6 linked regions of the Nothobranchius furzeri genome follow. The protein of the gene in region 5 purifies or fractionates together with the protein of the main gene of each other region. This does not show direct contact. Links are inferred from orthologs where the notes say so. Each region holds a gene or a part of one and is shown on either strand. Other genes may lie near its edges. The genes, in order: nup160, nup133, nup43, nup85, spast and nup107.

The links.
Region 1: the proteins of spast (region 5) and nup160 purify together in Homo sapiens (affinity purification with mass spectrometry; 3 studies listed by BioGRID and IntAct, with this or other methods). This does not show direct contact. The link is inferred for Nothobranchius furzeri from reciprocal best matches to the Homo sapiens genes SPAST and NUP160.
Region 2: the proteins of spast (region 5) and nup133 purify together in Homo sapiens (affinity purification with mass spectrometry; 3 studies listed by BioGRID and IntAct, counting the BioPlex papers as one, with this or other methods). This does not show direct contact. The link is inferred for Nothobranchius furzeri from reciprocal best matches to the Homo sapiens genes SPAST and NUP133.
Region 3: the proteins of spast (region 5) and nup43 purify together in Homo sapiens (affinity purification with mass spectrometry; 3 studies listed by BioGRID and IntAct, counting the BioPlex papers as one, with this or other methods). This does not show direct contact. The link is inferred for Nothobranchius furzeri from reciprocal best matches to the Homo sapiens genes SPAST and NUP43.
Region 4: the proteins of spast (region 5) and nup85 purify together in Homo sapiens (affinity purification with mass spectrometry; 3 studies listed by BioGRID and IntAct, counting the BioPlex papers as one, with this or other methods). This does not show direct contact. The link is inferred for Nothobranchius furzeri from reciprocal best matches to the Homo sapiens genes SPAST and NUP85.
Region 6: the proteins of spast (region 5) and nup107 purify together in Homo sapiens (affinity purification with mass spectrometry; 3 studies listed by BioGRID and IntAct, counting the BioPlex papers as one, with this or other methods). This does not show direct contact. The link is inferred for Nothobranchius furzeri from reciprocal best matches to the Homo sapiens genes SPAST and NUP107.

Annotation. Positions count from the first base shown.
Region 1 is NC_091744.1:79,810,861-79,814,226, forward strand, and holds part of nup160 (nuclear pore complex protein Nup160), read right to left. Parts: intron 3,114-3,366; coding exon 2,997-3,113; intron 643-2,996; coding exon 519-642; intron 436-518; coding exon 337-435; intron 244-336; coding exon 102-243; intron 1-101. UniProt on the Homo sapiens protein: Functions as a component of the nuclear pore complex (NPC). Involved in poly(A)+ RNA transport.
Region 2 is NC_091747.1:67,783,820-67,788,344, forward strand, and holds part of nup133 (nuclear pore complex protein Nup133), read right to left. Parts: coding exon 4,429-4,525; intron 2,129-4,428; coding exon 1,974-2,128; intron 1,467-1,973; coding exon 1,375-1,466; intron 1,285-1,374; coding exon 1,127-1,284; intron 1-1,126. UniProt on the Homo sapiens protein: Involved in poly(A)+ RNA transport. Involved in nephrogenesis.
Region 3 is NC_091742.1:11,413,708-11,418,781, forward strand, and holds nup43 (nucleoporin Nup43), read right to left. Parts: upstream 3,569-5,074; 5' UTR 3,349-3,568; coding exon 3,235-3,348; intron 3,020-3,234; coding exon 2,897-3,019; intron 2,443-2,896; coding exon 2,365-2,442; intron 2,266-2,364; coding exon 2,103-2,265; intron 2,020-2,102; coding exon 1,884-2,019; intron 1,800-1,883; coding exon 1,648-1,799; intron 1,548-1,647; coding exon 1,427-1,547; intron 1,139-1,426; coding exon of another isoform or gene 1,135-1,138; coding exon 909-1,134; 3' UTR 640-908; downstream 1-639. Other genes in the region: pcmt (protein-L-isoaspartate(D-aspartate) O-methyltransferase), read left to right, coding at 3,712-3,892. UniProt on the Homo sapiens protein: Component of the Nup107-160 subcomplex of the nuclear pore complex (NPC). The Nup107-160 subcomplex is required for the assembly of a functional NPC.
Region 4 is NC_091752.1:54,262,941-54,268,056, forward strand, and holds the start of nup85 (nuclear pore complex protein Nup85), read left to right. Parts: upstream 1-1,658; 5' UTR 1,659-1,792; coding exon 1,793-1,825; intron 1,826-2,230; coding exon 2,231-2,321; intron 2,322-2,416; coding exon 2,417-2,573; intron 2,574-2,673; coding exon 2,674-2,744; intron 2,745-2,830; coding exon 2,831-2,874; intron 2,875-3,023; coding exon 3,024-3,093; intron 3,094-3,220; coding exon 3,221-3,342; intron 3,343-3,459; coding exon 3,460-3,594; intron 3,595-5,116. Other genes in the region: small ubiquitin-related modifier 2, read right to left, coding at 933-953. UniProt on the Homo sapiens protein: Essential component of the nuclear pore complex (NPC) that seems to be required for NPC assembly and maintenance. As part of the NPC Nup107-160 subcomplex plays a role in RNA export and in tethering NUP96/Nup98 and NUP153 to the nucleus.
Region 5 is NC_091752.1:1,588,086-1,593,163, forward strand, and holds the start of spast (spastin), read left to right. Parts: upstream 1-1,795; 5' UTR 1,796-2,012; coding exon 2,013-2,124; intron 2,125-2,202; coding exon 2,203-2,286; intron 2,287-2,366; coding exon 2,367-2,441; intron 2,442-2,518; coding exon 2,519-2,667; intron 2,668-2,754; coding exon 2,755-2,882; intron 2,883-2,967; coding exon 2,968-3,061; intron 3,062-3,147; coding exon 3,148-3,222; intron 3,223-3,327; coding exon 3,328-3,399; intron 3,400-3,483; coding exon 3,484-3,559; intron 3,560-3,640; coding exon 3,641-3,732; intron 3,733-3,811; coding exon 3,812-3,891; intron 3,892-3,972; coding exon 3,973-4,015; intron 4,016-4,106; coding exon 4,107-4,186; intron 4,187-4,330; coding exon 4,331-4,401; intron 4,402-4,492; coding exon 4,493-4,533; intron 4,534-4,693; coding exon 4,694-4,819; 3' UTR 4,820-5,078. Other genes in the region: protein MEMO1, read right to left, coding at 591-651. UniProt on the Homo sapiens protein: ATP-dependent microtubule severing protein that specifically recognizes and cuts microtubules that are polyglutamylated.
Region 6 is NC_091741.1:38,092,603-38,097,127, reverse strand, and holds part of nup107 (nuclear pore complex protein Nup107), read left to right. Parts: intron 1-83; coding exon 84-219; intron 220-294; coding exon 295-398; intron 399-2,545; coding exon 2,546-2,661; intron 2,662-2,760; coding exon 2,761-2,809; intron 2,810-4,525. UniProt on the Homo sapiens protein: Plays a role in the nuclear pore complex (NPC) assembly and/or maintenance. Required for the assembly of peripheral proteins into the NPC. May anchor NUP62 to the NPC. Involved in nephrogenesis.

The sequences.
Region 1 (3,366 bases), on a different chromosome or scaffold from region 5:
GATGATGAAATGTATTTAATGTAAAAATGATAAAAATGGTCTGGTGTTTGATATGATTTATATATATTATCACCACTTTGTACGGCCCTGCCTCCTCTCACCTTGTATGACTGCAGCAGCCAATCAGGCAAGGGGACACCATGCTGCAGCAGCTTGTGAATGACATGGCGATGATACTGTCCATTGGTAGATGGATACCTGTCCAGGTAAGAGGCTAGCAGTCGCCATGCCTCATCAGTGGCACTGAGCACAGAAAGTCAGGGAAGGTTAACACAAATGGGCTCTGACTAATTAATGAATATGATCAATAACATGACTACTGGCTAAGCAACACACCTGGACTCTTTGGTGGTAACAACTGACAGCTGATTAGCAGCCAACCAGCTCCAAGCTTCATTCTGAGACTCCTCCCCCCCAGACTGCAGCTGGATACACCTGAGATAAAGAGTAGGGTTAAGCAAACAGGAAGTGAAACAAAATGGAAGGGGAAGAGTAAGTGAGGAACCTCCTGGGCTCACTTGAAGGTTAAAGCATCGAAGATTGGACTCAGATCCAGTTTGAAGATTTGGCTGAGAGAAAGGGCTGAGTCGAAGAGTCCGGTCTGGGCCAGGAGGAGGACCAGTTCTGGTGCAGACACACTGCCTGCAAACAGAAGCACACGGTAAATATTGTTTTTGAATGTTGTATTTATTATTGATGATTAAGAGGTATAATTATGATATTTGTCTTCTTTTAGTTTTCACGATGTACCACAATGTTCTGATTTGTGTGAAGAAAATAAATGTCTGTGGACATCAGTACGGATCGTGAAGTCCTTTCTGAGCAGAAATGTGAAATCCATAGTAAGGCAAGGCTGCTTTATTTATATAGCACATTTCATCCACAGAGGCAATTCAATGTGCTGTAACGTGATGAAGGAGCTATTCCACCGAAGGTTATTTACCCTCTCTCCTCAGATGCCTCTGACCAAGCCCCCACAATGCGGCTCTAAAATTGATGCAAACCCGGAAGTGAAATAAATTGCAGTTCCACCCTCATCCACTGGGGGCTGGTGTCAGAAGCGAGCAAATCCTCATAGACTCCCATGTTAAAAATACCAATTTCACAGCAGAAATAAACATGTTTACAGCCTGGTACCAGAACATGTTTTTTGTTTAAATGATCTAGTTTACACTCATGACAACTCTGAGGGGGGTGAATTTTTTTCTCACTCTTCTGTTTAAGTGTATTAAAAGCCTAAAATTCTGTATAATTAATGAACATCAGACCCACGTGACCACAGAGGTAGCTCCGTGGAAAGGCCTCAGTAGAGTAGGGGCGACGGTGGCACAGGAGTTAAGTGCTCGCCTCGCAATCGGAAGGTTGCAGGTTCGAGCCCCGCTCAGTCTGTCGCTGTCGTTGTGTCCTTGGGCAAGACACTTAACCCATGTTGCCTGCTGGTGGTGGTCGGAGGGACTGGTGGCGCCAGTGCTCGGCAGCCTCGCCTCTGTCAGTGCGCCCCAGGGCAGCTGTGGCTACATTGTAGCTCATCCCCACCAGGGTGTGAATGTGTGTGTGAATGGGTGAATGACTGATTGTGTTGTAAAGCACCTTGGGGGGTTTCAAGAACTCTAGAAGGCGCTATATCAAATACAGGCCATTTACCATTTACCATAGAGCCTCGGTCTGGCTTGGAAACTGTTCCGGGATTTTGAGTCTCTGTGTTTGTGTATTCTTCTTTGGATATTTTTTGTGCAATTGTTGGACAAAACGACTTGCTGTGGCATTAATTGCACTAATAGAGCGTCCAAGGAGTCTCCACTTCCTTTTTTTCGGTTAGTAAAATTATATTTATGTATTTTAGGTCACTGCTGAGCTGAGCTTAGATTTAACATGTACTATTTAACCATGAAACTTAAATGTAATAGGGTAAAACCCAGTGCATTTAACATAATGCTGCACTTTAGAAAATGGGTTGAAATATAACATGTTGGTGGAGCTGGGTTCCGACTATCGGCTTGTGGAGCTCTCGGGAGACCGATGTTTTCCACCCTTATCCCCTCCCCGCAGCTCGGCGCATCTCTGATCGCGGCTTCTGTTTGATGCGCGGGCTGTCGGCTTGTGGAGCTCTGGGATGGAAACCTTTCCATTCGGTTCTCCCCAGCGGCAGCTCTGCGCATCTCAGATCGCAGCGGCGCTTGTCTGCTGTGCGGCTGCCGGCTTGTGGAGCTCTCGGAGACCTCTGTGTTCCACCCGGTTTTACCCAGCGGTCAGCCCGGCGTATCTCTGACTCAGAAGCTCTGGTGTTGTGCACAGTTAACTCCGGTTGTAGCTAGGTTGCTACCTCCGTTAGCTTAGCTCCCACCTCTGTGTTAGCTTTGGGTTAGCTTGTAGCTAGTTCGACCGGGTGTCATCAGTTGATCCCAGCCTTACAGCCCCACCCTCAGCTCCACCTCTCTTCCCTTTTTTTGGAATTGTCTGGGCTTGACGGAACCTGTGACACGGTCAAAATGGCGGCGGTGGCCACCTCCCATTTGGCCTCAAAAACGTGATATTGGAGCCTATGGAAAGGAGATGTCCAGTATATTTATGATGATGCCTCCACAAATGAATTTTGCATGATATTAGACCTTTAAGCTTGTTTCACACCGAATGCTGAGTGATGCTGTAGTTTTTGTAAGCTGTAGTCAAAAATGGCATCTGGCGATGGCATTAACATCTTTCTTTAGAAGAAAAGCTTTTAGCGCTTCTAATTGTTTTGGTTTTAAAGACGCGTTCAAGTCATTTAGAACAGAGGGAAGACCTGCACCTAACTCTGCTTCAGACGCCATGTTTGAGAAAATGAGCAACATGGTGTGTGACGTACGCTGCTCAGCGCTGATTGGCTCAGTTAGAATTCTCAGGGGGCGGGGTTATTTGAATACAAGAGTTCCCAGCTGGTCAGGCTAAAACTCTGTGTGAACAAGGTTTCAGTGATGTGTGCAAATACACACGACCTACACAAGGTGCACAACTACCTGCAATAGCTGCAGATGGTGGGTGGTGCTGTGCAAGAGAGAGGCGGGCCCGAGACAGAAAGTACTCCCTCTCCAGATCATTCAGCTCCAGAATGTCCACCCGATGTCTACCTGCAGCTGGAGACACACAGTAGCGAAAAAAAGAAAACAATCGTTTTTGTAGCGCCTCTCAAGATAAAAATCGCACGGTGCATCATGAGAACAAAATTCAAAAATATTTTAAATGAATTAAAATATCATAAACATGATAAAATTTTATTTTGTGATAAAAATGTGAGTTAAAAGAAAGAGAAGACAGAGGTAATCAGTAGATCCCAAGAAAGGCAGAATTGGTAGAAAGAGCAGAACAAGGAGAGTTCCAGAGTCTGGG
Region 2 (4,525 bases), on a different chromosome or scaffold from region 5:
CAAACCGAGGACAATATTCTCCTGATATAGGGTTTATTACTCAAGTAAGGGTAAAAAAGTATCTGATTACAAGGCTACTTGAGTACTGAGTATCATCTGATCTAATATTTTTAAATTATGACATCAAACAGACATAAAATAAGAAGTTATGGGCAAATATTGGTATTTTAAAGACTAAAGGGGAAAAATGTAAACAAATAAACAACATCATTACAAAATAACACATTTTAGGCAAAATTTAGACACAAACTGAGGACAATATTTCCTGACATACAGGGTTTATTTAATTGTGTGAAAATGTAGCACGTTTAAAAAAAATACCGCGATAAAACCGAAAACCGTGGTAATTTTGGTCACAATAACCGTGGGTGGGGTTACATTTTCACACTGTGACAACCCTAGGGTTGAGTATGGAGCATCGATTGGAACCAGGACTACGTGCAACTTTTCCCCAGAATTGTTTAATGTTTTCAAATTTCAACTGCTAGCGTTGATCATCGGTCCACCGACCGGTGGAAGGTGTAGCCGAATACCTACAAAGAAGCATCCGCTGGAAGTGTGTGTGCAGGTGCGCTAAAGTGTGGCTTCAGCCGCCGATCTCCGTGGAAAAAACCGTGAAATTACAGTCAACGCCTTGGGGAGCCCGTTGCTCTTACTCTGCAGCCTGCGGAGGTGTGAGGCGTCACATCTCCCTCCTCCATCCCTTCCCAGCAGCGAAAATGCAAACAAACACCTTATTTCTGCTCCATGTAGCCTGTTGATAGCTACGTTTAAGTGTTCCACTCTACCCGAGTCGTTGCTGTCGATTCTCACTCATCCTGAGTTTTAACTCAAACAGCCGGACGTTTATGGTCACCTCTCATCAGAGACGCTCCTTCAAATTCCTGCAGAAGTTCAGACTTTCATCAAGTAAGACCTGTGGTCAGCAGGCTCAGTTAAACATGTAAAGGTTTTGGACAACGACTCTTGAAAGAATTGGAATCAAGAATCAATAAGAACCGGAATCGTTCAAATGGAAACGGTGCCCAGCCCCCGGTGCTCCACCAGAGCTGGTAACAGAAGACTTTTGAGTCGTATCTGATTTCATTCAGGGGTTGAAATGACTTGCAAAGCAAAGAGAGCCCACCTTCTGGGACAGACTCAGCCCAGCGAGGGTCTGAGGCTGGGTAATCATCTATCAGGTCCAGGTTGATCCGAGTCACGACGCTGTCCAGCTCAGCTCCAGCCTCCCCGTCAGCAGGGAACAGCTCATCAGTGACCGTCTGCGCTCCCACCAGGTCGTTACTGACGAGGAGAACAAAAGGTTATCATCTAATAGAATGACCAGAGCCAGTCCAGTAGTTGTCGCTCCACTCAAAGGTACGTCTTACACACCGGCAGAACTGCAGGAAGGCAGCCTTCAGCAGCTTGGTCCTGTCCTCCTGGCCCACAGGCGCTTTCCTGGTTGGAGTCTCCACGGCAGAAACCTTTAACAGCAAAAATGGAATTACTGCACAAGAAGGTGGACAATCACACGTTTCAGTCACATCTGCTACTTTTAGGATGTATTTCATTCGTCTTGTTACAGAATCGCATCGACGTTCCCAGATTTGAACCGTCTAAACATTAAAAAGATGTTTAACTTTAGAATTACCAGACACCGTCTAAGGTCAGGCTGGTCTAACAGACTGTTAGGCTACAGCATGGACGTAATTTTCACTTTAGAAGTGGGGGGGCATGGGGGTATCTTTACAGTATGCTCTAATAGGAAACAGGCTTCAACACAAACGGTTGTTTTCTGCTTGGTCCTAGAGCTCAACCAGTGTCAATTTAATATAACGTAATATTGTTTTTGGATGGTAAAAAGTGCAGGGGTCAAAACTTGACTTTGGAAAAAGTGGGGGGACATGTCCCCCCTGTCCCCCCCCCAAAATTACATCCATGGGCTAGATTAGATTGTGTATTTTAATTTCTTAGCGCAAAGCTGGAGTCACCTCAGGGGCTGCAGCCAGGGAGGAGCACAGCGAGTCCTCCATGGTCTCCGGCAGGATGGAAGCACTCTCTCTGGCCACGACCACTACCAGGCCACTGTTCAGAGAGAAAAACACCGGCAGGTTGGCGCAGTGGCCTCCTCCACGTATGCCATCACCTGAACACAGACGTCAACACACAGTTCAGTCATGTTTTCCTACACTGCTCCTGTCAGTGTGCCCTAGGCATGTGGGGAAAAACTCATTTCGGCCGCTTGTATCCGTGATCTCGTTCTTTCGGTCACTACCCAAAGCTCGTGACCATAGGTGAGGGTAGGAACGTAGATCGACCGGTAAATCGAGAGCTTCGCCTTCTGACTCAGCTCTCTCTTCACCACGACAGACCGGTACAACGCCCGCATCACTGCAGATGCAGCACCAATCCACCTATCGATCTCACGCTCCAGTTTTCCCTCACTCGTGAACAAGACCCCGAGATACTTGAACTCCTCCACTTGGGGCAGGACCTCATCCCTGACCCGGAGAAGGCGTTCTACCCTTTTCCGACTCAGGACCATGGTCTCAGATTTAGAGGAGCTGATTCTCATCCCAGCTGCTTCACACTCGGCTGCGAACCGCTCCAGCAAAAGCTGAAGATCATGTTCTGATGAAGCCAACAGGACCACATCATCCGCAAAAAGCAGAGACCTGATCCTCAGGCCACCAAAACAGATCCCTTCAACACCTTGGATGTGCCTAGAAATGCCTGCAGGTAAAATGACGCTCTGCTGCGTTTTATGTCAATAACATTACAATAAGGTGGGAGGTTCATCTAGTTTCTTTACTTTTGTTTAGCTGCACTGAGATCAGTTGATCGGTGGCGGTCTGACCACCGCGGTGCACACCAACAGCACGAAGCCAGAGAAACCTTCTCTAGCTCCTCCCATAAAGGTCTCTTTGTTTAACTCCAGTGATTTTAGAGCAGATTTTGATGTTTGCAGTTTGTTCTTGTTTTTCACCGACAGATCAATCAAGTTAATCAGTTTCCCTCTGGGATTAATAAAGTATTTTTGAGTACCGGCAAATGAATCAAACGTTAAACGGCTCTCTATGAAGCAGCAATAAAAGTTGTATAGAAACCTTTTATTTACTTAAAATTAATTGAATTTCTTTAAAAGATAAATTCTCTGCTGGCCACGTTTAAAAATGGAGTCTGTATTCGTGTCAATCCAAGAACCGTATTTGTCTTTATTCACCACCTCAAGCACACTGCCATGCATGACGCTACTGCCGGGGAGAGACGGTGTGGAACGTCTAAAATCTGTTTCTGTGACATTTAAATCCAGACAGTTGCTATCGCACCATTCCACAAACTCACAATCAGCAAGTGCATCCAGTTAGCCGGTATTAAAGAGCAAGTCACCCCCCCAAATCAACTTTTTTTTGCTGATAAACTACATAAACGCGTGTCTAATCGTGCTGCAGACACGTGTGGTCAATAATTTGGTACTTCAGTGCATCTTAGTTAAAATTTAAATATTCTGCCTAAAACTGTCAGTGTTGTGCCGTCGTCAGGTAAAAACTCTGCACTGCATTTGAATTTAAGGCCTAGTCCACACGTAGCCGGGTTTTTTTTAAACGAATATCCGCCCCTCCAAAAAACCTGTCCACACGTACCAGGATAAATACGTTGTTAAGGACATGCCAGACCTGTAGGCGGCAGTACTTCCCCCGTTCTTAACCTCGTCCTTCGTCTGTGGTCTTCCGCAAGGAGCAGTAATTCCGCTTGCAAAAACAAACAAGCAGAAAGCGCTTGGACAATTGATAAAGCGAGCGCAGCTCTGAGGGCATCCATGATGTCGGCTAGTGTAAACACAGGTCGCACACGTGATGTCAGCATGTTTTTGTCGCGGAAAGTGACGTTGCGGACCTTAAAACTCCGGTTTTGTCCGTCCACACGCAGACACCCAAAACGGAGAAAACGCAGATCTTCACTTTGGCCGGAGTTTTTAAAAAGATCCGTTTTCGTGTGAAAAAACTCCGTTTTCGTGTGGATGACAGGCCAAAACGTAGAAAAATATCTATGTTTTGGCAGATCCCCGGCTACGTGTGGACAGGGCCTAAATCTGCCACTGCTATTGGCTAAGAGGTATACTATGATGTAAACTGGTCCTTATGATGTCACAATGTGGTTGTGAGCCTGTGTGTGTATTGGTTTGCGGCTCCGCCCTCTCGGTCTGCAAGGCAACAGCATTTGTTGCATTTTTCAAACATGAAGAGGGAGTTGAGTAAGAATCTGGCAGGGGGTGACTTGCTCTTTAAGTAATTCTATATCACAGGCCAAAATCCTACCGTTCATTATTAATATTTACTGATAATGAGACAGGCGTGCGTTTTCCTAACAGCGTGCGGCCTCATGTAACAATCGCTGTCTGAGATGAAATGGCAGGTAAAAATCATGGCTGCTGCCCTCTCTCACCTGGTGAGGTAAAGTTGATTTTCTCATCTGGCAGCGTTGCCCTGCTGGTGCCCGTCGAACAAGCAAACACCAACTCCTCGTTGTACAGGAAGGCGGT
Region 3 (5,074 bases), on a different chromosome or scaffold from region 5:
CGGCCTGTGTGTAATAGGAATCCATTTGATGCTATTCAACAACAGGTTGCGCATTAGCCTGCTAGCTCCGATAACAACAACTCACCAAAGTCCGCCGCTGTCGCTTTTCCTATTATTAACGGACAGTAGTGGTTTGCTGACCCTCCTCGGCGTCGAGGACGCGATTTGAAGTTAAAATGCCCTTGTTGTTCCGCGCCGACTGGTTCCTAGTCTTGTTGAATTCCTGGGATATCTGAATGACAAGTACAACAGCTAAGCTAACGACGCACCATCAGACGCTGGACTTTCACAATAAAAGTCAGTGGAGAAATTACTTTTTTGCTAAGTTTAGAACAAAATAACACTAATAAAACTAATGAAGAAAATTTTAATGCTTTTTTTTATAAGTTTTTTTTTGCTAACCTGTTAATGAAGTCCAAACACATTTCACAGCACAAATCTTAGAAATAAAAAAATAAGAGCATTAATATGTATAAAAATAAATCAATTTCCCTTTGGGTGAGCACATAACATCTATTTGTAAATTTACAGAGCAACATAAGAGCTCACAAGGCTGACTTTGACATTTTTATGTTGGTAGGTTTGATTTACAATTTTACTTGATTTGTCAGTATAAAAAAACGTAACATCCTGAGACAATTTGAGAAAGTTACATTTTATTTCTTTATTGTTTTTTAAGTAATCTGTACAAAACATTATTAATCTGAACAATTGTGTACAGAATGACATACAAAAACACTAATCCATATTCTGTCACTGCAAAGAATGAAGCATTGCATCAGACACAGAGGTCTTTCATTGCGTAGGTATATTGGCTTTTTGTGTAACAAAAAAAAAGTCTTCCAATGTGTCACAAAACATCAAATTAAAATTTGCATTCATGTATTTATTAGTCACCTCCAGATCTTTTAAACTGGGACCTGTTTGTTGATAAAAATAGCCTCTCCATCAGTTCCACAAACTAAGCACTGTCCAAGCACATCCAAGCTGTTGACAGACAGCGTCTGGCTGGGCAGCATGTGGGTCGTCTCCAGGCGGCTTTTACTGGAGTCTCCGTTGAGCCAGGCACTGATGAGGGACTGGTTTCCTCCAGCAAGGGCCATCGCACTGCGAGAGGTCACGCTGCTGTTTCTGCTACCTGGAAACACAACAATAACACTTTTTACAGTGAAATTACGACAAATAGTACAACATGACAATGTTTAATAGACTGACCTGGTGTTGGACATTATCAGGAAATTCTTTGTTTATTTAACCCTAAATAATGTAAACTTTCAGTAAAACATTCAACTGGATATTTTCTTGATTATGGCTTTTGTGTTTCCATAGAATCTTTATAATTAAGAAAATAGAAGAAGTACATAGGCAGCCTTTTAAACTGAATACCAATAATAATAATAATAATGATTATTATGATGAATAGGACTTGCCTTGTAGAAAGGAGGGCATGTCTGAGTGGGAGGACGTCTCCCAGTGCAGCAGCGATCCATCCTCTGAACACGTGAACAGGTGATCTGGGTTGGTAGGGTGGAAGTGGACCTCCCACACTGCCAGGAAAGTTAGACAAAAAGCATTAAAAAAGTGAAAAATATTTAAATATGTGTGTAAATTATATGTCCATTAAATAATTAAAAATGTACATCTTACTTTCAGCTGAGTGGGCCTCCATGAGGGATGAGGGCATGCTGCCTTGCCTCACATCCCACATACAGAGCATTCCATCCTGGCCTCCTGTGGCTACAATGTGCTGCTGGTTTGGATGTCTGTCAATGCAGTACAAAGGAACTCTGTCTCCTGACCTGATTGGAGGAAAATTAAAATCCACATACATCAGCAAAATAGTAGAATTAAAAATGGGGAAAACGTGCTAAAGCGGATCTTACAAGGACAGAATCTGTGATGCCGAGTTGCTCTGTTGTCTTAGATCCCATAGCTTTATTTGTCCGATGGAGTTCACAGTCAAAATCTCCGTCGTCCTCAGGTAAGTCACAGCATGAATCGTGCTGCTGTCAGCATTCTCTACCAAATGTACCCGCAAAAGCATGTTGACTTGACACCGAGTTAAAGTGTACAGAGTTCTGAATGGGGTGGTTTAATCTCACCTATGACTTGAGCCATACAATCCTGGTCGGCTCTGAGGACAATAATCCTGCCGTCCTCCCCAACTGTGATGATCTCAGGGCTGCTGCACACAACTGCAGTGCAGGGAGCATTGTCACAGGGGTAATGGTGCGCTTTCACCCACTGCTGGGAAACTGAGATTGTCTGATGTAAGAAGAAAAAATGATTTTATAAATAAACAGCAAAGGCAGCAACACAACCTTCATACAGGAGTTGACATCTTTTATGAAAGCTCTACTGCACCTGACTGTTGTGATGGTGGCGGAAGATGGTGACTGCTCCCGTTGATGAGGCCGTGACGATTCTCTCTTGATCCAGGAACTATAATCAAGTAGTATAATCAAGTCTAATTTGGAGGAATTGGACAGCTGAAGCTCGACTAAAACTGAGTCATGCAAAACAATGTCCCACGCACGTGTCAAAATTTCAACAGAATGGCTGCAAAACAAATGAGTCTGTGTTGCAAATCCTCCTGCTGACTATAACAAGGCTGTGCACTGAGAAATCCTGCAGACCTACAAAGAAACAAAACTATTGATGCATAGAACAACAGATTTGCCTTCTGTATTAGCAAAATTCTGAAATGCGCAGAAAATGTACTTTATTTGTTTTTATGTGCATCTCTGCAGGGTTCATTGTTGTTTTAATTTCTTTAAAGTGCGTACAGCACTTTGGTCTGTCTTCTGGTCGATGTAAAGTGCTTTATAAATAAAGTTGATGGTGATGAATAATTGCATTATTAGTATGTTATGACATTATTGTTACAGCGTCTTACCTGGAGGCCAAGAACATCTCCATCGTGCTTGTTTTCACAAATAAGCTGCGGATCTCCTTCAAATCCATCTTCCAGGCCCGAATTTTCGTAATTACCCACGGACCAAATAGATATCTTGTTTTCCTACAGAAATAATTTTTTTTTTAAATAAAGGCCACATCCTTGCAAAAAAAATGACCAAAACGAACCTGACAGACACACAAAAAAGCAAACTATGTGTAACAAGTGTTAAATCCTTTTTGACAGTTACAACGTGTAAGTGTGCATAATCAGGAGAAACACAGAACATTTGAAAAACTGGGTAAATTTGGTTCACCAAAAATATTCAACTAGCCAACCTCGTTGTCCCACGATCCCGTCGCAAAGATTTCTGGTTGTTGTAAAAACGAAGACGACACAGGACGCCATCTGGCCTTGCTGACTTTTTGGGACACGTACTTAGCACTCTCCATGAGAACAACCAACGTTTCTGCTGCCTAAATACGAAAAATATTCTTATTGATGTTAGCTTAGCTCTATGTACGCACCCACTAGCTTTAAACGTAAGTACGGTGGCTCAACAGGATCAAACAATCTGATCTGCGTTTCTCGCAAGAAATGTGAATTTGTACATTCCGCCACCTAGCGGTCGTCTCCGTTGTTACTGCGGCAAAAACCTGATAAAGCACTGCATGGCTGAGGAACGTGGCTTTTATTCCCTTTCGTCTGACGCTGACTTTGATGCATCATGAACAGATTAATTATATTCTAAAATGACATATTTTTCTGCTTGGTCGTGCATCTGAGAGGCGGCTCTGCTCTGTAAAATCATTTGGATGTCTAGTGACGTATCCGCCGCTACGCCGTCTGCTCTGGAGGTTGTCAGCTTCTTTGGTAAAACTATTGGCGCAGGCGCGGCACTTACAGCTGCTGTCTACTTACTCCGTAAAGTCTGCTTAATAATGGCCTGGAAATCTGGAGGAGCCAGCCACGCAGAGCTTGTCAACAACCTTCGCAGTGAGTCCGGTTGCAGGTTTAAAGCGGCAGCAGCGATGAACTTCACCGCCGCGTCGCCAGAAAACGTTGTAGTTTGGAGGCTGGGGTTAGCTTAGGAGCGGTAGCTACTAGCAAGCTATGTTTATGGTGACCCAGCGTCTCCTCCCGCCTCTCCACCCCTTTTCCTAAACCACGTTTTTCGCTGTGGGACCATGTGTGGGACAAGGCAACGCTTTTGTCACAGCAGGGGGGAAAAACCCAGCAGAAATGACATTTCCGTTTTGTTGTAAATCGCAGAAAAGTGGTGTCCTGTGGGAAGTTAGCTTAGCATGTTAGCAGTATGTGCGTCATTTGAGATTTTATGCTACTGCCCACTGTCATTGATGTCTGTGTCTTCTACTGGACTTCAATGTGAATGACAGTAACAGCTGTACATGTCCGGATAGTTTCTGCTGAGCTTTAATACTCGGATACATTTAAATAATGACAAGTTGCTGTATCACTGCAGCTGTTAGCTACATAGCTCTGTGCCAAAGCCCACGACTCATTTCCATTTAAGAAGCCTGATTGTTGAACATTTTCAAATTTCTGTGCATATATTTTAGCTGATGTCTTTCCATGGACATTTAATATCCTTTCACAATATTTTAATAAGAAATCGATCAACCTTAGTCGATCTGCAGAAATCAAAACAGTTTCTTTATTGTTTGCACACATTACAACCTGCAAAATGTGTTTTAAATTATCAAACAAAAAAGTCAGAGTAATTTTGAGAATTTTGTAGGAGGGTGTGCCTAGCGTCAGCTTGGCTTTCTGGGCTTATAGACACGACCTATTTTTCCAGTTTATATCTAGTTACCAGTTCAGATCTTGTTTTTTTATATTCTAAATTAATAAAAGTTTATTCATGTAACCAGCCTGTCAAAAAGACAAACTATGAAGTAAAGAAAACTGTAATGCTGGCATAGAAGTAGGGATGTAAAAGTCAACCGAAACCAGGAACCGATACCAATGCAGTTGCCTGAAAGTGGCTTCACCATAACTTGTCATTTCTGTTCACCTAATATTTCAGTTTTGTGATCATTTCTATGAATATATTTTATTTTTTATCTACCTCACAATCTTTTCCTGTTGAAAGCAGAGAAGAAAATAAAACCTGTATTCCAATTCATTGCATTATTTGTGTGGTAGAAGTATCGGCGA
Region 4 (5,116 bases), about 53 Mb from region 5:
GCAAAACCTGTTAGCAGCCTTTTGTACAGTTAAAATGAGAAAGATTTAGCAATATTAAGATGGAATTGTGAATTTCATTTAAAAATAAACTACTGCTAAGTTAGATTTTGGGACATATCAAATAAATTCAGCTGGTGGTGTGAAATGAATAGGGCGATTTTCAGCATGATTTGTAATTCTGATGCTCAAAATTCTTCCCACCTGCCCATAAACCAATAATCACTAATTCAAAGAATCAATAACAAATTGATAATTTAGGAATTTTTATCTACAAAATTACGAATTTCAAGTAAACAACAATAAAACGACGATCATAGTTAACTGAAATAAATCAGACAAAATTGGCATTGGTCCTCAAAATCACAATCTGTGCGTCTCCACTTCTACAGATTTGTTATCAATAAAAATAACTATTATTACTATTAACAATAACATTATTATATTAATCAAAATCATTTGTCACAACTTAATGCAACCCAAAGTTGGATCTTTTACTTTAATATTAATGTAACAGAAGTTTTAAATATTAGTAAATCATGGCACAGAGTGAATGAAGATTCTGTAGTTGTAAAAATGTGACCTTTTTATTTTTAAGAAATATGAAACTGTTGAGTGCAGACAAAAATGTTGCACTAATTTACACAAGCTAGTTGAAATCTTTTTCCCAGATCAACACAAACTCACATGACTTTTGGACTGAGGACGACACCAGCTGGTCGTCTGTATGTTATCAAGAGGAAGGAAGGAGAATGCGCGCCTGCGGATGCGCGCTCACAAACCTTCCGGTCTATCAAAGTAGCAGCTAGGTGAATTGTATCAAGCAACTTTAAAATGGTCTGTAACGCAACATGCGGAGTTGTGCTTCTTCCTTTTAAGTTCCTACATTCCAAAGCGGGTAAAAAAAACTCAGTCGACATAATGGAGACACTAACCTTTGGTTTTTCATCAGCCATGGTCACTCTTTTGGCGCTTCTCTACGCTGCCACACAAAGAATACGAGCACGCGCACGTACTCGTGCCCGTTTAAAATAATCTTGCAAACGTGCGCGACCCTGTATCCGTGCGCGTCCACCTTGGCCGACACTCATTTGCTTAAATTGGTCACGAGGTGAAAGCGCGGTCTGGTGATGGGCGGGAGAGTCCCGCGAGCGCGTCACAGAGGCGCTATAATCCACATGCACGCGCACAGCGATGTTTTCCCTTTTGCTTTAAGCTTTATGAACGTAGACATTATCAAATGAGACAGTTATTGCGTGAATTACTTCACGTCTGCGTCGGGAAGTTTAGTCAACATCCCTCTACTGCGTGGTATCCAAACTTGGAAGACATGATACCCATGTTACTGGTCTTATCCCTGTTTACCAGCGGCCATCTTGTTTCACTAAATATGCCTAAAAGCAACTTCAGTTCAGTTATAGGTTATAGGATATTTCACAGAAGTGCTCTTTATAAACATTTTCCAGTGGGAATGTTTGTGTTTTTGAGTGAATTAATATTAAAGGTAAATCTGACTCCACATAACCACATTTTATTGCGTAATCATGCGTTACGAATTATCTAATTCCAATGTATATGAGAGGGACAATTTTATTTGCTTTATTAACAGCAGTCGATTAAAAAACAGGCATTAGAAAGGGCAGCCCTTCGTGACGCATGCGCAATAGTGGATTTCAAGCACCCATGAACCACGGCGCGTAATAGCAGATGAGAGCATCACATGTATTTAATGTATATTTTGTAGCTGAATAGTTTGTATTTTATATTTTCTTTGCATCAGAAACATTATTACCAGATGGAGGAAGTAGACGTTGAGCCGGTAGTTACTGTAAGTTGTCTCTTGTGTGTTTTTACCATGGTTTTTACTGCTAATAGCCACTCTACTGCTAACAAGCTAGCGGAACCGCAACAACCTTCTGAAATCACGAAACCAACAATTTATTTTGGGTTTAGTAAAACGCGCAATAAAGGATAATCACTGTGCGAGTGACTTCAAACGTAGGTGAGGGAAGTGTTATTATTAGCTTGTAAACGCCTGTACGAGTTGGTTGATGTGTTTGTTATATGGTATTCATTAGTTAAAAATGGGGCAACATTGACATTCTTTATAGTTTGAAGTGGGTCAACTATTTAATAATACTAATTTTTTAGAAATGCAAGGTTTTGCTTGATTAAAGTGTTTAATAAAATATCTCTTTGTACTTCATAAAATGTTGTGTTTTTTTAAATGCAGAATATTTCTGGAATCAGACCTGGGAAGCGTATGGGATTTGCATGGGGTCCTGGTGATATACTTGTGTATGAGACACAAAACAAAGCATCAGGTAGAAGGAGTTTTTAAATCAAAGTCCTGCCTCAAGTGCTTTTTTTTTAACTGTATTTTTGATGCATTTTGTGTAATGTGTTTTCTTTGTTTCAGGACCTACAGGGTCAGGTTGTGCCTTCATCCACGTGGTGCGGAAAGACGAGGACATCTATTCCCCCATCTTAAGAAAACTTTTTAACGAGTCGCATCACATCTTTGTTGGACTGCAGACAATCAAAGATGATCTCCCAAGCAAGAGCAAAAAACCACAGTAAGAAGGCTCCACGGGGTCCTCCACCACTGTACACCCTGCTTTTAAGTTAAAATGAGCAGATAAATGTTACTTATGATAACTGAGATTTTCTTTACAGGTTTGTAAGCATCAGCAGAAACTACAGGTCTGTGATTCGAGCCTGTATGGAAGAGCTTCAGCAAGCTGCAGGTGAGCTGTCTTGAATTTTACTAAAAACATGTTCTGAGCAATCTTATGCAAGAATAATAAACTCCATTATTATGCATTTTGTACAGTTTCTGCAAATGACACAGATATGGCCACACAGTACGGAAATCAGGCATGTACTTAAAATGTTTTGTCTTGGAGTTTAACTAAATATATTCACCATGCAGTTAGTTCATGACGTAAGGTCCTAAGTACACATGACATAACATTTTTATTCTCTGGTCCATTTTTCTGATGTCCATCTGATTTTTCCTGTCACAGGTGTCCATCCTGTTGGCCATAGAACTGATCTGGAATCTGTGTGAAGTGCTTTTCATTGATGCTGCTCCAGGTCAGAGGCTGATTAGTCTTAATTCTTCTTTTTCTTTTCGGAAAACATTTTTTCTTAGAGTATTTGACTTTGAGATTATGAACACACGCTCAAAAAACAATGCAGTGATGTGTGTGTGTCTTCTCAGCTGGTTCCCTCCTACTACACCTTCTGGACTGGGTGAGGTTACATAAATCCGATGTGGATGAGAAGGCGAAGGGGGTGCTGCAGAGTGACAGCCCTGCTGAGCATCGTGACTACTGGGATGTGGTATGTGCTGTAAAAACCCTCTTAGATCATTTATTTAATCCCTGTTCTTTAAATAATATGTTCTTTCCTGACAGACTACAGTGGGAGATCTCATTTTTTGCGTTTTGTGTGTTTCAGGTTTTAAGTTATGTGCTACAGGGAAGGTTGGAAGACACTAGGAAGATGCTGATGAAACAGGCGATGCTGCAACCTGCTGCCAAGAGCATGTACAAGCTGATGGATAGCCTGCTAAGCAAGATGCCCTTCTATAATGTGAGCACCATGTATTTTACCACATTTTCTGTTGTCTCAACAAAAAGCCTAAAATGCTAAAGTTGACCTGACATTTAAAAGACCCTAGTCTTTCACCTTGGCCTTTTGGCTTAGTTTTTCTTAATAGCTTTTGACATTTTCTGAAATAGATCAAATGTTTTTTGTATTTAAAGTTTGTAGCGACTTCACACACCTAAACACGATGCACCCAACACAAGAAAATCAACCCTTCCCCTAAAGTGTCATATTTCAGGAGTCTTGTATCTAAAATTTTCAGCAGTTTACCATTTTATTTAAAGACTAAACCAGTTTTGTTATTGTTGAAATACAGTTGGTCACTCGGGTGAGTTTAACATGCAGATCTTCTACCCCTTCTTCCTGCATTAGCCGTCAAATCAAACTTTATTTATATAGCACTTAATCATACAATGCATGTAACTCCCAAGTGCTTAACAAATTAAAAAGGCCCCGCATACCCACATTCCCTCCCATCCCCAGAATTTTAAAAAGAGTCTGAGAATAAAAACCCCTTCACAACACTCATTGTCCGGCACACATACACACATGAAACATACGGGGAGCCAATGCAGTGATTCTAAAACTGGAGTGATGTGCTCCCGCTTCCTGGTCTTCGTCAGGACACGTGCTGCTGAGTTTTGTAATAGTTGTAGACCTGAAGTCCTCTTTTTAGGAAGACCAGAAAGCAGGGCATTGCAGTAGTCTATCCTACTGGTGATAAAAGCATGCATTACTAGCGTCTCCGTATTGGCCCGAGAGAGAATGGGGCGGACTCTGGTGATGTTCTTTAGATGGTGAAAACCTATTTTTGTGATATTTTTAATATGATGGCGCCGTCTGTTGTGGCTTGCCGTCTGGTTTGCCGTTTGTGCTTTTTGTACTTTTGTCACTGTTTTTGAGTCTCCCAGTGGCTGATTCCTGTCCCACCCTCACCTATGACCGAGCTACTCTTCTGGATCTCCGGCAGACTTCACTATGCCTCATTCAAGCAATCGTTTGGGAACCTGTTTGATGGAGTTCCGCCCTTCCTCCTGTCCTCCGCCTGCGACCTGGTGGGGCCGCGGTGGAAGCGGCGCGGCAGGCGTAGTGGCGCTCATGTCCAGCTCTGAGCTTCCCGGGTGTGCCAGTCCAGTGGCAACGTTTCTTCCCGGGTTTGGGTCTGGTTCCCTGATGATTTCTCGGAACACAACATCCAGATTCTCCACAGGCATGACAGCGATCCAGGGGTGGACCTTTAAAGCGCCCGAGCGCCAATGGCGCTAAATTTTCTCGTCGGGCGGTAAATACTTGACGACTTACCGCCCGGGTGGCGCCCAAGCTTTATTTATCATTTACACACCGGCTTTCACCTACATCATGGGCCCGCCCTGTAGGAAGCTGCCGTTTTCGTTTCGCGCGCGTGAACCTGCGCGCCTCTAGCCACGTACTGCACTTGTACGATTCGTGCACGTACTGCACGATTCTAGTTATTGTCACGTGAACTATAAGTTCACTATTAAAGACG
Region 5 (5,078 bases):
TGGGGGAAGGGGTACAACATGAAACTCCAGTTTTCTGCCCAGCCCAACCCAGTCCTTTGTTTCATGGCTGAGAACATTTCACAGTTAAGGAAGTCGCAGTGAGAAACCAAAACGATCACAACAATTAAAACAGCTTAAGCTGGTTTAGCTTTGGTTGTTTTCTGGAGTTGTCGAGTTAGCGTGTAGGCCAGGGAGGTCTAATATTAGCCAAGTTAGCTCTGAATAGCTATAGCCTGTAACAAATTTGTCCAACAAAATCCCGCTTTATTTTATTCTTTTGCGGCATGATCAACAATAAATGACCACAAAACACACATGTTCCTCGTGGGATGACACAGAACAGGCTGTCAGAAGCTGGTAAATGTTAGCTAACCGGCTTTTATTTGAATCATCTAGATTAGCATGACATCGTCGGCTTTAACAGCCTCCTCGGGCAATATACGAAGAGAAACGTTATAAACCCAACGATGTTTAAAGTTTTACTAAATAAAGCGACAGACAAAACCAACGAGGCATGCTGACATACAAAGGAAAATAAAAAACAACAACAGCTAGCGCTCGGTGTGCTAACGCAAAGTGCCGACAGTTACCCGAAGCGGAGTACCAGCTCCCGGCGTGACTTGCTTCTCTGCACACCACTCGATTTGACATCTTGGTTCCCAAGCCGCCTATCTTGATTTCCTTAACTTCTTTATAGCAAAATAAAAATAAAACAGAACTGCAAAAACCCTGCGTTAGCTAGCTGACAGATGAAATAACGCCTGCTAGCTACCTTGCTCGAATAGACAAAGGGCAGTCCGGCTGTCGAGACAGCTGGGATAGCAAGCTCACTGTACTGGCCCCTGTGTTGTTATATTAATGTCGATGGTTGTTACCGGTTAATAAGTGAAGTTAGTTTGTTCGGCAATCTGGCGATATAACTCCTTATAGGCACAAATAAAACAGTATTGCGCCGACAACAAACACTAGCTAGCCCAATATAAAACCTTTAAACTGTCACAGTAGGTATTTGAGGATTACTGAGACTTCTTTTGCTAGCCAGGTAGAAGGGGCGCGGCTAAAACTGTTGTCGAAGTGATGTCACGTCTTATGATTGGTGAATTGATTTTGTAGGGAAACATCATTGGTGGGAATTGGAAAGGGGCGGAAACAAGTCCAGAATGGTTGTTTGGTTACAAAACGTTGGGCCGTCAAGTGAGCTGTGGTGAGCACACATGGCAGAAAATGAATCATACAAGCTTAACGTTATGGTTGAAACCAAAACAATTAAGAATCTAGATGCTATCAATAACAGCTGTCGACACGTTTGTAATGCATCATTATAATGTCTAAAGGTTTTTCTCAAATTTCTTTCATGAATTGTCATTTGAGTTCAAAATCTTTTCTGATTTCTTCTGAGTTGAAAATAGCAGTCATTGTTTTGAATGACATGTGAATTCGTGAAAATTAAAAAGAACATTATGTACAAGTCAAGGAAAAATAACGATATATAACGATATATATAGTGAATATATATAGTGAAACTATTATTATTATTATAAATATGGTTAAATGTTTCTAGTAATTACTTTACAAATTGGTGTTCTATAATCACACAAAAATGGGTAAAATGGTAACGAAATCGGTGGAAAAGCAGGCGGAAACCTGTTTTTTGCAACAAATATTATTTATTATATTTTTATTTTAAAATTTGGTTAGAAATTTTGACTGTAAAAATGGAAAACGACACAAGACAATGTTTCTCCACTACGGCAGGGGGCGCTAGGAGTTTACACCAAAGAGAAGATGCGGAAGCGGGCGGAGTCTGTTGTTTGTGTACAAGGGAAAGCGGAAGTTAGCGGTAGCTGCTTGCATGGACTCTAAAAACAAAAGAATATCACAGTGAAGGGTTAGTTTACTAAACATATACCGATGTTTCGCCACCTTCGCATGTTTTTTAAATGCTAAATGTATATTTCCCTTCTTAGAGAATTTGTAACAACCGCGATTAGGGAGGAAGTAACGCATCAGTAATGTCGGCTAAAATAAACGCAACTAATAGCAGCGGAGAACTTATTAAAAACTATCATAAACAGGCGTTTGAGTATATTTCGAAGGCACTGAGGATCGACGAGGATGATTCAGGTTGGTTTATTTGTTTGAGTATCGATCAGCGGATGTTTTGTGTGACAGTTTGTTATAAACGCCATCATGTGATAATAGTGGCTAAGGGAGAAGCTGTGCAGTGGTACAAGAAAGGAATCGCTGAGCTTGAAAAGGGTATCGCCATAGAGATTACTGGAACAGGTAGAAACGTTAACACTCCTCTGTTCCGTGATGTTTTGTGTTAGGAACATTTAGCCATGAATTCTGTGTTGTTTTGTCAGATGATCGATCAAAGAGGCTGCAAGATAAAATGGTTACCAATCTCACCATGGCGAAAGACAGGCTTGCTTTGTTAGGTAGGTGTCATTTGAGCTGACTAACACCCTGCTGGCATCAAAGCTAAATAACCTATTTTCCTGTTCTTTCCTCACAGAGGCCACATTGGCATCTAAAAGCAAAAACAATCCTCTGTCTGGCTCAAGCCTCCCTAAGCCTAAAAGCCAGCCTTCAGCTTCAGGGTTGTCCACTAACTTTAGGCCCTCCACTGCTGCCAGACCATCACCAAGACCTGCTGATGCAAAGGTGTTTTGATTCTTCACCATGTAAAGTGTAATCACGTGATACTGAAGGGTTCACGTTGTGTAATGATTTCTGCTTAAATCAATTCAGGTGAACCCCAGGATGGGAAAAGTCCCAAATGGAAGACCTGTGAAGCAACCCCCAAAGAGGGACATGAAACACTTCAAAAATGTGGACAGCAAGCTGGCCAGCTTGATTCTTAATGAAATAGTTGACAGGTATTCATAACAAGATAATAATGCTTTTGCAATCTGCAAAATACAGAATTAAATAAAGATGCTACATTTAAAATGTGCTCGGCAGGGGAGCGTCTGTATCTTTTGAAGACATTGCTGGACAAGATCTAGCTAAACAAGCACTCCAAGAAATTGTGATCCTTCCTTCCTTAAGACCGGAGGTTACGAGCTTTACTATATTTCTGTCTTCATAAAGCATCTGTGCTTTAAGTGTTTAACCTGACACCATCTCCTATGGTCTGTTTAGCTGTTTACAGGTCTGAGAGCACCTGCACGTGGTTTGCTTTTATTTGGCCCACCTGGAAATGGAAAAACCATGCTGGTATGTAGCGCATCCATTTTAACACAACAACCTTGATTGCTTGTATGCATGTATCACCATCCTGCTGTTATTAGCTGAATTACAGATGCTATTCCTCCTTTCCAGGCCAAAGCAGTCGCTGCAGAGTCTAATGCTACTTTTTTCAACATTAGTGCAGCTAGTTTGACATCTAAATATGTGAGTAGATTTATAAATTGCTTACTTTTCTGCAGCCACACTGTAATCTGTGGTGTTTTCAAATGTTTCTTATCACTGTCACAGGTAGGAGAGGGCGAGAAGCTTGTACGAGCTCTCTTTGCAGTTGCAAGAGAACTGCAGCCTTCAGTCATCTTTATTGGTCCGTAGTACTGTCTTCCACAGTTTAACTTTGACATCTTGGTTCATAAATTAACCTTTTAATATCACTTTTAATTCTTAGACGAAGTGGACAGCTTACTCTGTGAGAGGAGGGAGGGGGAACACGATGCCTCTCGTCGCTTAAAGACAGAGTTCCTCATCGAATTTGATGGGGTAAGAGTGTCAGGAATTTATTCTTGAACACCTGAGAACACACCGGTGTCATTTTCACATCTGCCTTTCTGGATTTCAGGTGCAGTCAGGAGGGGATGACAGGGTTCTGGTCATGGGAGCAACTAACAGGCCTCAGGAGCTTGATGAAGCAGTCCTAAGGTAAGCAGTGCAGCCATACGTGATTGTTTTATGTTTGATTTAAAAATATGTCACTGCTACTGATAAATGTTTATCTGACAGGCGCTTTGCAAAAAGGGTGTATGTCGCTCTGCCAGATGAGAAGGTAATTATCACCCATGCATGTTTTTTTTTTTTTTGTTTTGTTGCAAGATGCTTTTTGTTTCCTTTTTAAAAGAAGTTTTCTAACTCTTTAGACGAGACTCACTCTGATGACAAACCTTTTGGGCAAACACGGGAATCCACTGAGCTCGAGCGAGCTGTCTTGCCTCGCAAAGTGAGTGTCCTGCTGCTGTTACAATGCTTCATGTGTTCGTAGAGGCAGTAGAAACCCACATGACAGCATAAAAATATGCTAAAAGTTAGATTTGTATGTATGTCCCCTTTAAGCTGATATAAATAAAATGTTGTTAACTGACAGAGCGACTGCAGGATATTCAGGAAGCGACCTGACGTCATTGGCCAAAGATGCAGCTCTTGGTCCTATTAGAGGTAGGACTGATTAATCAATTAATTTCTGGCAACATTTTTACATTTTTAATGGGAAAACCAATGAATTTTATGTGAACTTGATCTCTTTCAGAGCTGGGACCAAACCAAGTCCGCAACATGTCAGCCAGTGAGGTGAGAAGAAGGAAAACCATCAGATTGGCTTTTGTAATTACACAGTATTAAATATGTGTAATTACACAGTATTAAATATGTGTAATTACACAGTATTAAATATGTGTAATTACACAGTATTAAATATGTATTCATTCACTTTTGTTTTCTATGTTCTCAGATGCGTAACATCAAGATGAAAGACTTTGAGGATTCCCTGAAGCGCATTAAGCCCACCGTTAGTCCCTCTACTCTAAATATGTATAGCAAATGGAACAAAGATTTCGGCGATACGACAGCTTTTTGAACTTTGCTTTTTACTTGAAAAATAAAATAAAATAAACGTTTCTTTAGTTAAACTGAGTGAAACTATCAAAGCACTTCTCTTTTTGTTGGGTGTGGCTATATTATATGAAAAAAATGTGACATTTGGGATTATTATAGGAAAATTTCCTGTTTTATGGAAAGGTTTTCCTTTGTCAGTTCTTACAAACAAATGTAATCGCACTCCTTATTCGTCTTCTTGCTCTGTAAAAATCTGTTATTTATTCTTTAAAAAATGCAAG
Region 6 (4,525 bases), on a different chromosome or scaffold from region 5:
ATACTCTGTTCTCATTATAGTGAATTTGTGTGTGTGTGTGTGTGTGTGTGTGTGTGTGTGTGTGTGTGTGTGTGTGTGTGTAGAACTTGGACGACAGCGACTGGACCACCAGCTTTTACACCTCCCCGGCTTCTGGGTTAGGGAACACCAGCTGCTTCAGTGATGACGGTGCCAACCTCAGCTCAGCGCTGCTGAAGGAGGATGACCCAGGAGACGCAGGTGAGTAAAACAAACACCCCCAAGGCTTCGTCTTGTTACTCTGCTGCTCCTGATGCTGGACTCTCATCTCTTCAGCGGCCGCCAGTCTGTTTCCGGAGTTCCTTACTTCCTTTCTGAAACATTCTTCCTCTGCTGTGTTTGAGCTTGTGGAGGATTATCAGAACATCTGCAAGGACAAGGTAAGTCAGGAGGAGCTTAAACACACCCTCTGAGGGCCTTTATCAGGATTTATTAGTTCCATTAGTGGTGCATTTAGGCATTAAAACTTCTGTTTATACCTGCGTCCACTCACTGTGAGGGTCATCTTTTAAGCAGTGGGGTATATTTTGAAATATATGCCCCACTGCTTAAAAGATGACCCTCACAGTGAGAAAACTTAATTTTCTGTAAATTATTTAGATTTCTGCTGCCATGAATAGCAATTATTCGTCATATGTTTTCCACATTTCACAAAGTGTTAAAAACATGACAGGACAAGGAATGAGGTCCTGCTTCAAGTGGAGGAGTTTAAGTATCACAGTGAGGGAAAGATGGAGCGTGAGATCGATAGGCGGATTGGTGCTGCGTCTGCAGTGATGCGGGCGTTGTACCGGTCTGTCGTGGTGAAGAGAGAGCTGAGTCAGAAGGCGAAGCTCTTGATTTATTTTTTGATCTACGATCCTAACCTCACCTATGGTCACGAGCTTTGGGTAGTGACCGAAAGAACAAGATCGTTGACACAAGCGGCAGAAATGAGTTTTCTCTGCAGGGTGGCTGGGCTCTCCCTTAGAGATAGGGTGAGAAGTAGAGCCCTGCACTGAAGCCCTAGGCCCGGGGGTCGGCCCGGCCCGAGGGCTGGGCTTCGGGCCGACGACTGTGTAATTACCTCGGACACGGGCCGGGCGCCTTTATTTTTAATCAAATTCATAAAAAAACCGGAATCACTTGAACGCAGCAGCACCTGCCTGCGTCTCACGCACCGGCACCCGTTAGCTCAGTTAAGGTCTGTGTGGTTTATAAATGCGCCTATTCTCAAACAGCTGATTGAAACATGTGCCCCTGTTCTAATATGCCATTTTATGTCCACTTTGATGTCAGAAACCATTCGTTAATTCTCATGAAAACGGCAGCGTTCTATTTTTCTGTGAATAAATTCGCTCCGCAGTTAAAAAAATACAGCATTCACTGCTGTATTTTTTTCTAACTGGAGAGCGCATTTTCAGAGCGGCAGATTCAATTTACAAACGCTTATTGGGGGCGTTTATCTAATCTGCCGCTCTGAAATGCGCTCTGCAGTTAGAAAGTTAGAATGCTGCTTTTTTTCTAATTGCACAAGAGCGTGTTTTCAGAGCAGATTAGATTTACAAACGCATCCGATTAATATAGCGTTCGTAAATTTCATCTGCCGCTCCAAAAATACGCTCTGTTAGAAAAAAAGCTGCATTGATGCGTTTTTTTTTTTATTTTACTGCAGAACGCTTCTCACAGATAATTAGAATGCTGAGCATTCTTTCACGCTAAAACATTATGAAAGGTAAAAAAAAAAAAAAAAAAGTCTGGCTCGGGTCGGGCCAGAGAATCCTGAAAACCTTTTCGGACCGGGTCGGGCTGGGGCTCCACCTGCTCGGGCCGGGCCGGACACGGGCTCAGATTTTAGGCCCGTGCAGGGCTCTAGTGAGAAGCTTGGTCATCCGGGAGGGGCTCGGAGTAGACCCGCTGCTCCTCCACATCGAGAGGAGCCAGTTGAGGCGGCTCGGGCATCTGGTCAGGATGCCTCCGGGACGTCTCCCTGGTGAGGTTTTCTGGGCTCGTCCAACCGGGAGGAGACCTAAAGGTAGACCCAGGACACGGTGAGGGGACTATGTCTCTCACCTGGCCAGGGAACGCCTTGGGGTTTTTCACCCTTGACCCATTTTCATGTCTGATAAATCTGTTTAATGTTTCGGATCACCGTCAGAGTAAATGTACCTGTTTAAAGGGATTTTAAAGAACAAGCACCACAAAAGTGAAGTACTCTGTCAGGAACATGGGGAATAATCAGGTCACTGATGTATGAAGGAGCCTGACTATTAAGAGCTTTCGATGTGAAAAGGAGGATCTTAAAATCTCGTGCGAGGTTCTAGAAGTTTCAAAATGTGTCCTAAATAAACCTGCTACCATCTCACCTCCTCCAAAATGTGCTTCCGCCAGGTCCAAAGTTTTACGTGAAGTTTTCCTGTATAATTCGCAAAGTTTGTGAGGAAAGTAATTGCGCAGTTTTCAGACCCTGTTCTGTGCGTAGGTGAGCTTTCTGATGAGGCCCCTGAGCACCGGGAGCCCAGAGCTAACAGGATTGGTTTCCTTTAAGGTGGATGTGCTTCAGTCGGTGGTGCTGAGAGCGGGTCAGAACAGTAAAACGGCAGGAGTCTGCTGGCTGCTGCAGCAGGAGAGCTGCACCTGGAGACTCGTTGCTTCACTCTACAGGTATCACGTCTCACTGGTCGAGCGAAATCCACCCGTCTGTCTGTCTGGTGGTGCAAACGTCCACCCCTCTGTGTCTAATTCACCTGCTTGTCTCTGCAGAGATCGGGTCCAACTGGCGCTGGAGGACGACATGATGACTGACGTGGTTGTAAGTGACTTCAGGTTCTGCTGTAGTCTTTCTGCTTCTGTCTGTCAGCAGAATATCATTTCAGCTGAGCTGAAGTTTCTTGTGTGTAGCTGAGAGTCGTACTCATCACTGTCCAGCATCACTTCCAATGTTTAACTAGAAATCCATTTCTCAACATCTTACTATAAAACTCTAAATCAGGGGTGTCCAACTCATTTTAGCTCAGGGGCCACATTGAGGGAAATCTAGTCCCAAGTGGGCCGGACCGGTAAATTAAAAACAACTTCAGATTGTTTTCTTTGTTTTAATACAATCATTATAAAACAAGGCTGGAGCCCGAGGACAGTGTATCCAAAATAGTACAAGTACAACACCTGAAGTGTACTTGAAAATTTGAAAAATAAATAAAAAATAAAATCAATAAATAAAAAAAAATTCCTTAGTGATTCAAAGAGCTTACAGATCACATGGCTAGATCAGTTTAATGCAGCACTTAAAGTATATTTGACTCATTTTACTTTACATCTTTTAGCTTTCACCAGCACATCAACATCAGAAGTCACAGCCTGAGTGGCGGCCATCTTCAGGATGTGATTCAAGTTCTTGTGTGAGCCTTGAGCGCAGCTTTGTTTTATTTATACTCATTACAGAGAAAACTTGCTCACAAAGATAAGTTTATTTTCACTCTACATTGTAAAGTATGAAAATAAAGTTTACACAACCATCTCGCGGGCCGGATCCGACCCACGGGCCGCATAGGCCGCATATTTGACACCCCTGCTCTAAAGGAAGCAGGCGGCGTGCATCCCAGTAACGACTTTAATTTCTTCATATTTTGATTTCACTGAGGAAAATATTGGCTTATTTCTGCTAATCTAATAAATAATCTGAAGAAATCAAACAAGTGGAGGACAACAGTAGAATCAGGCCTAAATTATTGTGTTTAGGTGGGTGAACTTTTTCTAAAAATCACAACTTAACTCATTCACTGCCAGTGTTTTTCAGCCTTTTTAGCATTTTGTTAAGAGCCACAGAAGGTTGAGCGCTAGCATGATGTCGACGCCAAAACAACCAAAACAAAGCGGAGACTCACCTCTTACATCAGGAAGAATCCGCGTGTTTCGAGCGTTATCCGTTCTTTCATAATCCGTTGTTGAATTGTGATCGGCAGAAGCTTTTCTGGTTCGCGCCTCACTTTTTTTACAGCAGCGGCCCAAAACGATCTCCTAACACATGGATGTTCTGCTTCCTGATCACGTGAAGTGTGACGTACGCGGATGAAGATCGGCTTTAGAGCTGAGATGTTTGTTCTCACAGTGCGGGGGCTCGTCCGACGCCCACACAGTAAAAACATGCAAATGACGATTTTGGTCGTCAATAGCACTGAACGAGTTAAGGAAACCGAAATAAAAAGAGCAAAAATCTTGACTCAGACCAAAGTGATTAATCCTCTCTCCGCTTACGATTACGGGCTAAGTTTTCATCCAGTGGCTCTGTAACCGGATTACAGGATACAATAAGATAATTAAAAGAAAAAATAAACAAATGGGCCAATAATTAGGTTCGGGGAGAATTGGAGGTTGTTTAAGAATGACTGGAGTCACGGGTATAGCATGAAACGGTTTATATACTAAATTTTAATAATAGTGGGAGATATAACACATAAAGATAACACATAAAAACAGATGAAAACAATCGACAATAGTAAAATGGTCGGTATGAGATTTGATCATATGA